2 linked regions of the Anolis sagrei genome follow. The protein of the gene in region 1 interacts with the protein of each later gene in a pairwise test. Links are inferred from orthologs where the notes say so. Each region holds a gene or a part of one and is shown in the gene's direction. Other genes may lie near its edges.

Region 1 (8,089 bases):
CATTGTCCTTCTTTAGGGGTCCCTTTCAAATCTTTGATACTGCATCTGCCACATACATATATGTGTGTGTGGGCATGGCTGGATGGACTTTTGTCAGGAGGGCTTTGATTATGTTTTCTTGCCCTGGTGAAGGGAGTTGGACTGGATGGCCTTAAGGCAGTTCTCAACCTGGGAAGTCTAGACCACAGGGGGGACGGGACCAGGAGGTTGTCAGAAGGGTCACTAAAGACTACGAGAAAACACAGAATTTTCTGTTGGTCATGGGTGTTCTGTGTGGGATGTTTGGCCCAATTCTATTGTTGGTGAGGTTCAGAATGCTCTTTGATTGTAGGTGAACTATACATCGTAGTAACTACAACTCCCAAATGTCAAGGTCTATTTTTTATTTTCTGTGTTCACATTTGGGCATTCTGTCTCTCCCCAGCAAAATGTCTTAGGCGAGTATTCTTGCCAAGTTTGGTCCAGATCCATTATTGTTTGAGTCCACAGTGCTCTCTGGATGTAGATGAACTACAACTCCCAAACTCAAGGTCAATGCCCACCAAACCCTCTCAGTATTTTGTGTTGGTCACGGGAGTTCCGTGTGCCAAGTTTGGTTAAATTCGATCGTTGGTGGAGTTCAGAATGCTCTTTGATTGTAGGTGAACTATAAATCTCAGCAACTACAATTCCCAAATGACAAAAGCATAATTTTTTGAGTGATGGTCACTCCTTGTGTAGTGAGACGTTTTGTTGCCAATTTTGGTGTGATTTCGTTCATTGGTTCTTTTGTTTTTAAGGTACTCATTATGCACAGAGCATTTTTAGATAGACAAGATAGATAGATAGAGAGATAGAGTGATCCATAGTGCTTTGGGACAAGCACTCCCATTACTCTCTCCCAATTTGGGGGATTCTGGGAGCTGTAATCTCAAAGCTCTGAATTGCCTTTAAACAGCCAAATCCTGAATTAAACAAGGTGAAAATTGGCTTCTACACTGTAATAATAATAATAATAATAATAATAATAAGGAGAAGGAGAAGGAGACGACTTTGTTTACACCCAGCCACCATCTCCCCAAGGGGAGTCAGAGCGGCTTACATGAAACCAAGCCCGACAACACATCAATAAAACAAAAAACAATAAGCAGAAACAATACAATTAATATAACTCATATATAAACAGTAACACACAAGGGTTTTAAAAAAAACCTATGGCCGGGCCAAATGTAATAGTTTAAAATTTTAAAAAAATAAACGCTGGGCATGAACAGAGATAGGATGTATCTGATAGGAGGGTTTTAAAAGAAATGAAGGTAGAGCAACCCAATGAGTAGTTACAAGTGCTTCGGAGGACATTTTGCTGGGGATTATTTCCTTTTTCACTGAAGAATGAATGCAAGTTTAACAACACTTGAAATACCATGGCTCAGTACTATGGAATCCTGGGAGTTTTAGTTTGGTATGGCACCAGCATTTTTAGGCAGAGAAGGCTCAAGACCTTGTAAAGCTACAACTCCCAGGATTCCATAGCATTGAAACATAAAGTAATGTCAAACTGCATTCATTCTACATCTTGAGTCAAATAAAAAAGGTAAGGTCTTAAAATCCCTAAATGCATAAATATAATAAATCTGATTTGTAACACTTTTAAGTTTTGAGCTGAGCAGTATTTCTTCATAAATGTGTGATACAGCCTCCAGGCAAGTATGAGTGGAGCTGGTATTTCAGGTAGAGTAAGCAGCCCTTCCCTCTGAGTCATTATTTAATAAGCTTTTCACATGGCTTGAATACTTTGGGAATGATATGATGAGAGGGAAGACAAGCACAGCTTTTCTCTGAGCCGATTTCACAGGGCTGTGGCTGCCCATCCTGCAAATCTGCAACCAAGGATCTTTTCAAAGCAGGCCTAAGACATTTTGTTGGAGAGAGACAGAGGCCTGGAAGCGAATGAGCTGGATGTTGAATCTTGCAATGGAATTAATATCCTCCACTGCAGACAAGACAATGATCAATGCAATTTCTCACTAACTGCGATCGGTCAAGATAATCACAAGAAGCTCTTGAGCCTTCTCTGCCAAAGAGTGCTGGGCCTGCCCGAACTACAATTCCCAGGATTCCATAGCACTGAGACATAGCAGTAAAAGTAGTGTCAAACTGCATTAATTCTACAGTGTAGAAACACACCAAGAAAGTACAGGTCGGAATAGGGTGTGTGCGTATGTATGGTTTTATGAATATACGTGTTCGTCAGGCCAAAATGATGGTGGGCCCAAGCGGAAAAGATGTGACAGACTGTCACTGCTATTCTCTGGCATCAATCATGCTGAAAGTAGGAGCATACAGTATGTCCTTCACAATTTCACATATGAAAACTGGTCGAACAACAGCAAAGTGTAGTCAAAATGAGAAACATGATTGAAAAGGAAGAATATATAAGCTAGGAGGGTTTGCAGCAGTTTCCTTTTGCCCAAGCCTACTGGGAAGGACAAGAGTTTTTTTTCAGACAGCTCTTTAATTAATTAATTTCATTTCTACCCCGCCTTTCTTGATCCTAAAGGGAAATCAAGGCAGCTTTCAAATCTGGCAAAAATTCAATGCTGCACAGGTAAACAATAAAACACATCTCATCAAAATATAAACAAATTAAACATATAAGCAATTAAAACACATATCAATCAATCAAACAAACAGATTAAAAACCTTATAAGAAGAAAGTTTTCAAGACTGAACCAGGAAGTGTTATGTTTTATGTAGTCTAATTGTTTTGTTGGTTTGAAGTATGTATCTTTTAATAAGTCATATATTTAATTCTATTTTAATATTTGTATGTTCCGAGTTTTATTTATTTATTTCATGCACTTTTACCCCTCCCTTCTCCCCCAAAGGGGAACTCAGGGCGGCCTCACAGAAGCACCATACGATGCTGTCAATTCGAAGTAGAATTAAAGCATTAAAAACCATTAAAACACATTATACAATTCATTAGACAGTAGATTATACATGCCGGTAAAATCAAATCCAAGTCTAAGCAGATTCAATGTCGTAAATATCCTAAGTCTTTTTTCCAATTGCCGCTATTTGATTAATGAAATGCCTAGTCCCAGGGCTAAGTCTTCACTTGTCTTCTAAAGGACAATTTACATATTTGTATGATTTGTTTAGTGTTAGCCGCTTTGATACTCCTTTGGGAGAGAGAAAGCAGGATATAAATAATAACAATCATCTTGCTGGGTTTTAATATATTTATTTATTATTTATTATTTATTTGATGCACTTATTAACCGCCATTCTCAGCCCTTACGGGCGACTCATGGCGGTGTACAGTACACATAAAAAGACAGTTACAAAGGCCAGTATCAACAACATATAACTATACGACAAATACAAACTACATAAAAATCCGCTTCGTCTCTTAGTAGAATCATAGCCAGTCTCATCTTCCTTGTACCATTCCAGTTCTCATTACCGTAATGTTGTTGCTTAGCACTTAATTAAATGCCCTCTCGAACAGCCAGGTCTTAAGGCTTTTTCGAAAGGACATGAGGGAGGGCGCCTGTCTGATGTGTGCCGGGAGAGTGTTCCACAGCCGGGGGGCCACCACCGAGAAGGCCCTCTCCCTCGTCCCCGCCAGCCGTGCCTGTGATGCAGGCGGGATCGAGAGAAGGGCCTCCCCAGACGATCTCAAGGTCCTCGTGGGCTCGTAGGCCAAGATGCGGTCAGAAAGGTATTTTGGGCCGGAGCCGTTTAGGGCTTTGTAGGCCAAGACCAGCACCTTGAATTGGGTCCGGTAGCAAATCGGCAGCCAGTGGAGCTGGGACAACAAGGGCGTTGTGTGCTCCCTGCTACCCGCTCCAGTTAGTAACATAATTATAGATATTGTATAATTTGTTTAGTGCTAGCCGCTTTGATTCCCCTTTGGGAAAGAGAAAGCAGGATATAAATAATAATCATCTTGCCGAGTCAATTGAGTGTCACCCATTCTTGTACTTTTAACTCAGTTTGCAGCAACTGGAAAAAGATTACAAATAAGGAAAATTGGGAGAAGAATGAGACTGAGACATTTAAAAAAATAATTTATTTATTTATCATATTTATACCCCGCATTTCTTACCCCGAAGAGGACTCAGGGCAGCCTTACAGACTGGAAACAATTTGATGCCATATAAAAAAAGTCTTCAGGCTAAACATGCCCAGCTCCTTAAGCCGCTCCTCATAGGGCTTGTTCTCCAGCCCCTTGATCATTTTAGTCGCCCTCCTCTGGACACATTCCAGCTTGTCAATATCTCTCTTCAATTGTGGTGCCCAGAATTGGACACAATATTCCAGGTGTGGTCTAACCAAGGCGGAATAGAGCATGGGGAGAATGACTTCCCTAGATCTAGACACTATGCTCGACAAAACTTCCTTGGAAACGTTATGTTGACACTCTCAATTACCAATAAATACCTCAGATTTTACTTCTCTGTACAGTGTTTGGCTGTTTTATTTTCCCCCTGACTGAATGGAATGCAGGAACGCACTTCATTCGTGAGGGAACTCTGGACGAGGAGGCTTCGAAATGGCGCGAAGGCAGACTGCGCCTGCGCACTCCCTTCCGCCTGGGAAAGAGCCTGTCAGAGGCCGCGCCTGCGCAGTGCGGCTCCCCACTAGGCCCGGGCGGAGCCTAGATTGGCTCTTGGGGGCGGGGCCTGTCAGGGCTACGCCTGCGCAATGCCGCTACCCAATCAGTACGGCTCTCCACTAAGCCCGGGCGGAGCCTAGATTAGCTCTCTCCGCCTTGGGGGCGGGGCCTGCCAGAGTTGCGCCTGCGCAGTGCCGCTCCCCAATTAGGCTCTCCCCGTCATGGGAGCGGGGCCTGTCAAGGCTGCGCCTGCGCAATGCCGCTTCCAAGTTAGGCCCGGGCGGAGCCTCGATTAGCTCTCCCCGTCGTGGGGGCGGGGCCTGCCAGGGCTGCGCCTGCGCAGTGCCGCTCCCCAATTAGGCTCTCCCCCTCTTGGGAGCGGGGCCTGTCAGGGCCGCGCCTGCGCAATGCCGCGTCCAAGCTAGGCCCGGGCGGAGCCTCGATTAGCTCTCCCCGTCTTGTCAGCTGGCGGCGCTGTCCCCGCCCTCCCCTCCTTCCTCCGGGCTGACGTGGCCGGGGACATGGCGGACGGGAGCAGGCAGAGCAAGCTGGCGGCGGCCAAGAAGAAGGTAACGCGGCAAGGGAAGGCAGGGGAGGCCGAGAGGAGTTTGCCTCAGGCTCGAAACAGCAACTACGACGACGCCAGGCGGCCTAGGCCTCTAGGCCCAGGCACGCCCCTAGTTGCCCCCTTCTCAGCCAGGCAGAGGCCTAGCCCCCTCCGAGGCGCCTCTCCGGCCTAGGCACGCCCCTCGGAGGCCGGAAGACCCCAGCCCGCCCCGTAGTGGGATTGCTCCGAAGAGAGAGGCCGCGCCTCCCTTCTCAAGGCCCACATTGTGAGAGCCGTTCAGCAGTGGAACTCTCTGCCCAGGAGTGTGGTGGAGGCTCCTTCTTTGGAGGCTTTTAAACAGAGGCTGGATGGCCATCTGTCAGGGGTGATTTGAATGCAATATTCCTGCTTCTTGGCAGAATGGGGTTGGACTGGATGGCTCAGGCTGGAGCAACCCACTCAGGGTGTTTTTGGGTTGCTGTGAGTTTTCCCGGCTGTCTGGCCATGTCCCAGAAGCATTCTCTCCTGACGTTTTGCCCAAATCTATGACGGGCATCCCCAGACATTGTGAGGTCTCTTGGAAACTTGGCAAGTGGGATTTATAGATCTGTATCTATATCCACAAAGACAAATGCAAGAATCATAGAGTTGGAAGAGACCTCATGGGCCATCCAGTCCAACCCCATTCTGCCAAGAAGCAGGAATATTGCATTCAAAGCACCCCTGACAGACGGCTATCCAGCCTCTGTTTAAAAGCCTCCAAAGAAGGAGCCTCCACCACACTCTAGGGCAGAGAGTTCCACTGCTGAACAGCTCTCACAGTCAGGAAGTTCTTCCTCATGTTCAGATGGAATCTCCTTTCTTGTAGTTTGAAGCCATTGTTCCGTGTCTTAGTCTCCAGGGAAGCAGAAAAGCAAGCTTGCTCCCTCCTCCCTGTGTCTTCCTCTCACATATTGATACACGGCTATCATGTCTCCTCTCAGCCATCTCTTCTTCAGGCGAAACATGCTCAGCTCTTTAAACCGCTCTTCATAGGGCTTGTTCTCCAGACCTAAAGCAAATTAAAACAATTAAAGCAATATTAAACAACAAAACAATAAACAATACACCAAAACACAATAAAACTGGACCAGGCCAGAGTAATGGGTACAGAATTAAAAGTGCTGATGTGACAGGTGGTATATAAGGATTATAGGGTAAGTGGAGTGTGCAGTGCGCGGCAATCATAGTTCTAATAAAGTGCTTCTGGGACTTGGTATTGGAGATTTCCTATTCTGGGAAGGCACATCGGAACAGCCAGGTCTTCAAGTTGTTTCTAAAGACTGCCAATGTAGGGGCCTGTCTAAGATCTTTGGGGGGGGGGTGTGTGTTCCAGAGTCGGGGGGCCACCACAGAAAAGGCCCTGTCTTGTGTCCCCACCAAATGCGCTTGTGATGCAGGCGGGATCACAAGCAGGGCCTCTCCAGATGAACGAAATGAACGTGTGGGTTCGTAAACGGAGATGCAGTTATTCTATTCTGACATGCACTTATATGCATCTGTCTGTATTTAAATGCTGAAACAAAGTGACAGAGCTCAGAGAAACGTGAAATAGTTTCTTAGTTTGAGAGGTGTTTCTTGGGAGGAAGCAGATCCTTGGGCATCTCTACATACTCCACTTAGTCAGAAAAAATGAAATGCAATGATACAGACCGGTGGACAATGCCAGGCTCGATATCAGTATGAAAAAGATTTTGGAGTTTTCGTGGGCAACAAGTTAACATGAGCCAACTATGTCGTTCGACAGCTAAAAAAAGAATGGGATTTTGGCCTGCATCAGTAATTATAATAATAAATTTTATTTGTATCCTGCCACCATCTCCCCAAAGGGGACTCAGAGCGGCTAACAAGAGGCCAAGCCCAAAATTATAGTACAGCAAGATAAAATAGAAAGAAGCAAAATTAAAATCAAAATAAAAAATCATGAAATAACAAAATAAAATAAACAATCACAAAATAACATGATAGAGAAATAGAATGCAGTGGGCGGGTCAAATGCACTAGGATAAAATTGATAAAACCCTGGATGAGATAAGTGATGGGAGAATGTCTTTCTGAGGGAAGAGCTCAAAAAGAATGAACTATGGGGTTAGACCAGGGGTCCTCAAACTTTTTAAACAGAGGGCCAGGTCACAGTCCCTCAAACTTTTGGAGAACCAGATTATAATTTGAAAAAAATGAATGAATTCCTATGTGCACTGAACATATCTTATTTGTAGTGCAAAAAAAACCCTTTAAAACAATGCAAAAATTAAAATGAAAACAATTTTTACAAATATAAACTTATTAGTATTTCAATGAGAAGTGTGGACCTGCTTTTGGCTTATGAGATAGGATTGTTGTTGTTGTTGTTGTTGTTGTATGTTTTCAAGGAATTTCAGACTTGAGGGCCAGGTACATGACCTTGGAGGGCCGTATTCGGCCCCCGGGCCTTAGTTTGAGGACCCCTGGGTTAGACCTTCATTAAGGGCAGGGGAAAGTGCATCATGAAGATGGAACTGTAGTTGGAACAGACAAAATATGGAATATATGTTCACTTGCCAAAGGCATATCAGAAGAGCCAAGTTTTTAGGTCTTTCTTAAAAGCTGCCAGGGTAGGGGCTTGCCTAATCTTACTAGGTAGCGAGTTTCAAAACTGAGGGGCCACAGCAGAGAAGGGTCTCTCTCTCGTCTCCACCAGTTGTACTTGACATAAAAGTGGCAGTGAAAGGAGAGCCTCCCCAGAGGAGGTTTATGGAAGGAGCTGTGGTCATGAAGGTAGACGAGTCCCAAACCGTTCAGGGCTTTGTAGGTGATAACCTGCACCTTGAATTAGGACTGGAAGATGAATGACAACCAGTGGAGTTCAAACAGGGAGGTAGACCGCTCCCTGTAATTTGCCCCAGTTAGCAGTCTGGCTG
Region 2 (7,951 bases), on another chromosome or scaffold:
ACTCTGGACATTCACAAATATATGAACCTCACTTGCCTAGTTTCTAACACACCTCACAACCTCTGGGGATGCCTGCCATAGATGTGGGTAAAACACGAGGAGAAAATGCTTTTGGAACATGGCCATACAGCCTGGAAAACTTACAGCAACCCAGTGATTAACAACTGATCTTTATTGTTAACTAAAATGCTTATTTACTATTTATATCTGCTGTTTATTGTGTTTCTGTTTTTCCAGACTCATCAAACAAAGCATGAACATTTTCATGTGAATTTATGCTTTTGAAACAAGCATCGTATGGAAGTATATTTCCTGATTCATCTATATGAGTTCTAGCAATGCTGCAGACAGAACTCATGGACTGTATTTGACACACATAATTCAAGAACATTTTTAAAGGCCCAGCTTTCACGTGGGGAAACAATATCTGTATGGATTTGAAAATCAATGTCTTTCAATGTGGTAAAGCAATGACATCTGTGACATTTTTCTTCAGAGATGTAAACCCCACAAAGTTTTGTAAGGCCTGTCCCTAATGCTTGGAAAGGCATAACATTGCAAATTTGAGGACACTTTAGAGTTACTTCTGAGTAAACATGTTTCAAATTGGCTAACAAGTGATTTTTTAAAATGTTCATAGGACGTATTTTATCATAGTAATCATGTAAATGTGCATATATTATTTTCACATGTATTAATACACATTTTATCATACAAGAGCAAGATCCACTTCAGAAATACAAAGGAATCAGTGACATTCCTGTTCTAAGCAGGTGAGGGAAATCTCACCCCAAAAATCACAAGTCACTCATGAGAAGCATACAGTTTTTCATCTTCTCTTGCTCCATGCGTAAGCATCTTATAAAGGGGATTTGTATATCCCCAATGGGGAAATACAGTGTCCCAGGTTTAATTGTTATGCCTACTTATATTTCTGCATACATGGATTACCTCGGTCAGAGTTTCTCAAACTGTGCTCCTCCAGATGTTTTGGACTTCAGCTCCCACAATTCCTAACCATTGGCAAGCTGGCTGGGATTTCTGGGAGCTGAAGTCCAAAACATCTGGAGGAGCACAGTTTGAGAAACACTGATCTAAGTAGTAGCAGAAGGATTAAATGAATAAGGATAGTTCATAGAATTTTTAAAATCCTCAGAAACTATTGTCCTTATAATAAAGGTAACTTTATGCTATCAATTAATGAATGAGTTTGTTGTTGTTTATTCGTTTAGTCACTTCTGACTCTTTTTTTTAAATTGTATTGGTTTTTTAAAAATGTAAATATGCAAAATAGGAACAGTAGGAACAGTAGGGTAGTATAGGGGTGGAGGGAAAGGTGGGAAAGAGGGAAAAAAAGAAAAAAGAAGGAAGGGAGGGGGGAGGGGATGCTGGGATGGGGATGGGGTAGGTTGGGTACTTCCAGGTTCACCCAGGGTGACTCATATGGTTCTACATTTGTGTACACTTGTAGGTGTGTATACATAATATATTCTTCTATTTGTTTGTCCGTATATATACACACACACACCCCAGCATACATATTTATTTCCTTGCTTGAGTCAGTTGTCATCTTCTTGTTTATGTAGTCCTTGAATTTAAATTACAAGTCCATTATAAAAATCTCTTTATTTTCACCTTTTATGGATTCTAGCACTGCTTTCCAGTCAGTTTTTTGGGGGGTTTTGTATAGTTCTGTGAAATTCTATGTGTCAATATGTCCATATTTATTATGTCCATTATTTTTGCTGTTCATTGGTCCATTGCTGGGATTTCTTTGGTTTTCCACATTTTTGCTAAGGTCATCCTTGCGGCTGCTATTAGGTAGAAAAATATCACCAAATCACTTCCGACTCTTGGTGACCTCCTGGACCAGTCCATGCCAGAGCTCCCTGTTGGCCGTCACCACCCCCAACTCCTTCAGAGTCAAGCCACTCACTTCAAGGATGCCATCCATACATCTTGCCCTTGGTCTGCCCCTCTTCCTTTTTCCATTTCCCCCAGCATTATTGTCTTCTCTAAGCTTTCCTGTCTTCTCATGATGTGGCCAAAGTACTTCATCTTTGCCTCTAATATCCTTCCCTCCAATGAGCAGTCGGGCTTCATTTCCTGAAGTATGGACTGGTTGGATCTTCTGGTGGTCAAAGGCACTCTCAGAATTTTCCTCCAACACCACAGCTCAAAAGCGTCTATCTTCCTTCACTCAGCCTTCCCGATGGTCCAGCTCTCACATCCATAGGTTACTACAGGGAATACGATTGCTTTAACTATGTGGATCTTCGTTGCCAGTGTGATGCCTCTACTCTTCACTATCTTATTGAGAATGAGTTTGAGTATATTTGAAATTATAAAAAGACTTTCTGTATATATTTCAGATTTCAATATTAATGTCAAAAATACTTAGTATGATTTATGTAAGATTTGTGCTACATTACAACAGTCAAGACAAATATCACTTAAGTAAAATAAACATGCTATATTAAATATTAAATAACCGGAAAAATAAAATAAGGTGTAAACACTAAACTAATCTGGGAATCTGCTATTGCAACACATCCAATTATTATTAAGTGAGGGGGAGAATATGTGGAATGAGGTATCAGCATGGGTGTGGGAATATAGGCATAGCTGTTAACACCCATGTCCTACCCAGTCCACGAGATGCGAGTGTGGAGAAGAGCAAACCACAGATCACCTATTGCAATGCAGCCTGAGCCCTGCCACATGCACAGTGGAGGACCTTCTTATGACAACACCAGAGGCACTCCAAGTGGCCATCTACTGGTCAAAGGACATTTAGTATAAAGCCAAGTTTTCAAACTTTGTTTTTTTAAAATATAATACAACTGTTTGGGTCACCCCTGATACGCTAAATAAATGCCCAGCACTGTATATAATACCTGTGCTTTTGTTAGAAATAACCCTGTCAAGTATGAGCCAGTGGCTAAAGCATCTGGGCCTGGGGTTAAGAATTGTGGAACCCCAAGCAAGAAGCTTATGGGTGAAAAGCTTTCATCTGACCATTTCTACAAAATATATATATACCTCTTGTTGCTCAGATCTGAGAGGGTGGGGCAACTGGAAGAACTGGTTGGTCGGCTGGTTTTACTGGAAAAGCCAAAAAGGGAGAGGAATTAAAACAATGGCAAAAAGGAAAATCTCTGACCCATGATTTGCTGATAACAAAGCCTTCTTACCCCAACCCACTCCCATCTCTGCTTCTAGAGTGAGGTTTTTCTCAGACCTTCTCAGGCTTGTTGTCGTATTTGACCCACAAAGGATGAATGTTCCTACAGCAGCATTTCTCAACCTGGGGTCGGGACCCCTGAGGGGGTTGTGAGGGGGTGTGAGAGGGGTCACCAAACACTATTAGAAACCACAGTATTTTCTGTTGGTCATGGGGGTTCTGTGTGGGAAGTTTGGCCCAATTCTATTGTTGTTCAGAATGCTCTTTGATTGTAGGTGAACTATAAATCCCAGCAACTCTCAAATGTCAAGGTCTATTTCCCCCAAATTCCACCAGTGTTCACATTTGAGCATGTTCAGTATTCGTGCCAAGCTTGATCCAGATCCATCATTGTTTGAGTCCACAGTTCTCTCTGGATGTAGGTGAACTACAGCTCCAAAACTCAAGGTCAATGCCCACCAAAACCTTCCAGTATTTTCTGTTGGTCATGGGAGTTCTCTGTGCCAAATTTGGTTCAGTTCCATCATTGGTGGAGTTCAGAATGCTCTTTGATTGTAGGTGAACTATAAATCCCAGCAACTACAACTCCCAAATGACAGGATCAATTTCCCCCAACCCCACCAGTATTCAAATTTGGGCATATCAGGTATTTACAATATGATTCATAACAGTAGCAAAATTACAGTTATGATGTAGCAGTGAAAATACTTTTATGGTTGGGGGTCACCACAACATGAGGAACTGTATTAAAGGGCCATGGCATTAGGAACGTTGAGAAGCACTGCCCTACAGAGAAATATCAATGCACAGAGCCTTTCAAGCACAAGAAGCCATGGTGAACTTCCGAGTTTCTGTTGTAGTTTTGTAGAGTCAAATATTTTGACTCTACAAAAGTTATTCTAAGACAGTGTTTCTCAACCTGGGAGTCGGGATCCCTGGGAGGGTCGTGAGGAGGGTGTCAGGAGGGTCGCTAAAGTCCATCAGAAAACACAGTATTTTCTGTTGGTCTTTGGGGGTTTGTGTGGGAGGTTTGTACCCATTCTATTGTTTGATTGGGGGGTCACCAGAACATTTTTTTTTAAAAAATTCAGGAATCAGGATATCTTTGTGCTATTTTGGACAAGCATAAGAAACCAGGCAAAGGTTCCATATTATTTGAGGAGTGTATTGGAGTTGGAAGAGATCACAAGAGCCATCCATTTCTACCCCCTGCCATGCAGAAACACCCAATCAAAGCCCCATTGGATTGCTGACCAAAAAGTTGGCAGTGTGGTGAGCTCCCCCTGTTAGCTCCAGCTTCTCATGCGGGGACGTGAAAGAAACCTCCCTCAGGATGGTAACACATCCAGGCGTCCCTTGGGCAACGTCCTTGCAGACGGCCAATACTCTCACACCAGAAGCGACTTACAGTTGCTCAAGTCGCTCCTGACATGAGAGAGAGAGGGGAAAAAACCACAACACGAGGAGCTGTATTAAGGGGTCAGCGTATTAGGAAGGTTGAGAACCACTGATTTAAAATAATGCAAGGCTTGTAAGTTGAAGTCCAGAACACCTGGAGAGCTGACGTTTGCCCAAAACTCCCTTTTGAGGGGCTTCCTGGTATGGAAACAGAGTGGCAGCCTGGGCCAAGAGGGAAAGGAGAGCTTGGCAGAGGCAGCCCTGTCGCAAGGGAGGGGAGGTGCCAGTTCAGCCAGGCGCCCTTTGCTCGGCTGGGGTGGGGAAGGAGAAAAGAGAGAGGGAGGGAGGGAGAGAGGGAGGGGCCTGCAGGTGAGGGACCTGGGCGCCCCCTCCCCAGCCAGCCCCGCCCTCGCCCTGCCTTGGGGAGAGCCGCGCGTCCGCCATGGAGGCTGCTTGGGTGAGCCAGCCCTGCCCTGCCCCGCTTTGGGGGCGCCGTCGGGTTTCTTGCTGGGAAAGGCGGGGGGGTGGGTCGCTTTTGGGCTCCCCGTTGGCTTGTTCTGGGAGAGAAGCGGTTTCTCACTTACCATTCCCATTGCTTAAAGTCTAAGCAAGTCAGTGCTCCCTGTGGCCATGAATGTAGGGGTCGGGGGGGGGGGGGGGAGTTTGAAGTATCCAGGGAGTTCCTTCCAAAAGTGTGTGTGTGTGTATATATGTTAAAGGTAAAAGGTTTCCCCTGACATTAAGTCCAGTCGTATCCGACTCTGGGGGTTGGTGCTCATTTCCATTTCTAAGCTGAAGAGCCAGCGTTGTTCATAGACACCTCCAAGGTCATGTGGCCGGCATGTCTGAGTCGCCTCTGAGACTCAGAGAGACTCAGAGCCTCTAACCGCTCTGAGTCGCCTAAGGGCTGAGAAGAGCGGTATACAAATGAAGTAAATAAATAATAAATGTCTGCATGGAGCGCACTTACCTTCCTGCCTGAGCGGTACCTATTGATCTACTCACACTTGCATGTGTGAGTAGGAGAGTCCATTTTCTAGGGGTGTGTTGGGTTGAAGGAGGAAAACAATTTCCCCCTGTTCTCCTGTTATTTCCTCCATCCATGTCCCCGTTGTGGAAACAACCCCCATTTATGAGATGAGGGAGAATATCTATCAAAAACAGGGGAAATGGTTTTCCTCCTTCAGCCCCCCCCCCCCATAAAATGGGACTATCCTTCTCTCTCTAGTTCACCCTAATGGCCTCCGAACTGATAATGGAACAGTACCATTGAGCTGTGGAAGTGGAAAGGTGTCAAGAGGCATTAATTCTACATCATGAAATAGCATAACTGGGAGAAAAGTGTATGGAACATGATATTAAATGGCTTAAAGAGGGTACACAATCAAAAAGCATGCCCATGCACACTTGAAGTGAAGAAAGCTCCAAAAATCTCAATAAAAAGTCATGTTTTGACTTGGTCTTGGAAAGAAGACAACCTTTGTGCCCATGGGACTTCCAGAGGGCACCACAGCTGAGAAGACCCTTTCTTTAGCACACAGGGGAACAGTTTTCTCACCCTTCTGTGCAAACAGGGTTGGAATAAAAAGGTATGTCACTGTCATGTTCTTGCAAGTTGTTTGATGAAGACTCTAACTTGGGCTGTAAGAAAAAAAATGCCACCAACTTGAATTATAGTGTCTTATGTTTTAGCACAGTGGTTCTCAACCTGTGGGTCCCCAGATGTTTTGGTCTTCAACTCCCAGAAATCCTAACAGCTGGTAAACTGGCTGGGATTTCTGGGAGTTGCAGGCCAAAACACCCAGGGATCCACAGGTTGAGAACCCCTGCCTGTGGGTCCTGGAAGATGACATCATTGCTACCTATATGAACATAGTGAGATTGTTTGCCATCCCCTTCAACTAGACAGGAAATTAGGGTTTTAACTGTACCTCTTTGAGTCCCACCCAGTCAGATGTTTTAGGCATGGATTTCTACATTGCTAGGGGGTAGTCTAGATTAAACTTGAAGGAATCTTCCAACTTTATCACTCTATGTTTCTAATATGTGTTTCCTCATATCATTACATTTTTCCTAATCTTCTTCACTTTCTACAGTCATCTTAGAAAAATTCAAGGGTCAAATCCTCCTTAGCCATGAGGCAAACAGTATGGCTTCCCTTTCTCCAGGTTTTTCTTCTCTGTAGAAATGATGATTGTATAGCACAGAGTTTCTCAAACTGTGCTCCTCCAGATGTTTTGGACTTCAGCTCCCACAATTCCTAACATCTGGTAAGGTGGCTGGGATTCCTGGGAGCTGAAATCTAAAACACCTGGAGGAGCACAATTTGAGAAACACTGGTATAGCACATGCTTTTTTCTTTTTTAGCAAGTCCTCCAACAATATATAAAAAACACCCTAGCACAACTTTATAGTGGGAATTGTAGTATATCAAGAGGTGTTTTCATTTTTTTTTTGTATATCTTTGTTTTCCCCCTTAGGACCTCTCTTTTTGGATTGCTGGGGTGGTAGTGGCGGCATCTACCCTGCTGTTGCTTTTTAAAGCAATGGGACCTAAGGCAAAAAGAGCTCTGGTGACCTTACAAGATCCAAATATCAAGTATCCCTTGCCGTTGATAGAGAGAGAGGTGAGTTGTCTGTAATGTGATTTCACAATATTAATCTGTTTTTAATGTAAGACTTGTCTTTCAAGCCCTATCTACTTGTAAAGACAGCAGCTGTCTAGATTGGGATAATTTTAACTAGCACTGCCATGGACTGAGCTAGAGACCTTTCGTGTGGATCCAGCTCCTCCCTGAAATTTGCAAGGAAAGTGTAAACCTTATTTTGATTGTGGTATTTGGATGCCATGAAACTCTGGGGAGGAGGGTGTAAACTTTCTTTGGATTGTGGCAATCCAAAATTGTCTCAATTTTTCATTTCAACAGGAGATCAGCCACGATACCAGGAGATTTCGGTTTGGTCTACCCTCATCAGAACACATATTAGGCTTACCTGTAGGTAAGTCTAGCTTTGTCTTATTTTATAATTGATTTCTCAAATAGGGCCTTTTCAGCCATAACCCACACAACCTATCCTGCCTTTTGATTGACTTTCCCTGATATTGTATCTGCTGAGTACATTTAGATTTATGCTGGAATGTTAGAGAAAAGTAGTAAATATTGATTTGTATGAAGTATTGAGAAAGCAGGAATGTAGTAACCTTGGTTTGTTAAGTAGGGTCTTCTGAAGTCTGGCTACTCTTTTCTGTATAAACGTGAATAAAGTTTCTTTCCTCTCCATTTTAACTGTGCTGAAACTGTGGTCTTGATGCTTGGAATTGTGATGGATACTTATGTATCTGGCATGTAGGATCTTGTTGTTGTTGTT

Evidence for each region. The genes of interacting proteins can lie anywhere in the genome.
Region 2: the proteins of GOLGA2 (region 1) and CYB5R2 interact in binary tests that used the Homo sapiens proteins (3 or more experiments, as listed by UniProt). The two-hybrid records come from large-scale screens. The link is inferred for Anolis sagrei from reciprocal best matches to the Homo sapiens genes GOLGA2 and CYB5R2.

The regions. Positions count from the first base shown.
Region 1 is NC_090031.1:16,805,232-16,813,320, reverse strand, and holds the start of GOLGA2 (golgin subfamily A member 2), read left to right. Parts: upstream 1-4,989; 5' UTR 4,990-5,124; coding exon 5,125-5,172; intron 5,173-8,089. UniProt on the Homo sapiens protein: Peripheral membrane component of the cis-Golgi stack that acts as a membrane skeleton that maintains the structure of the Golgi apparatus, and as a vesicle thether that facilitates vesicle fusion to the Golgi membrane.
Region 2 is NC_090021.1:255,183,449-255,191,399, forward strand, and holds the start of CYB5R2 (NADH-cytochrome b5 reductase 2), read left to right. Parts: upstream 1-4,927; 5' UTR 4,928-5,024; coding exon 5,025-5,039; intron 5,040-7,062; coding exon 7,063-7,209; intron 7,210-7,509; coding exon 7,510-7,582; intron 7,583-7,951. Other genes in the region: OVCH2 (ovochymase-2), read left to right, coding at 238-257. UniProt on the Homo sapiens protein: NADH-cytochrome b5 reductases are involved in desaturation and elongation of fatty acids, cholesterol biosynthesis, drug metabolism, and, in erythrocyte, methemoglobin reduction.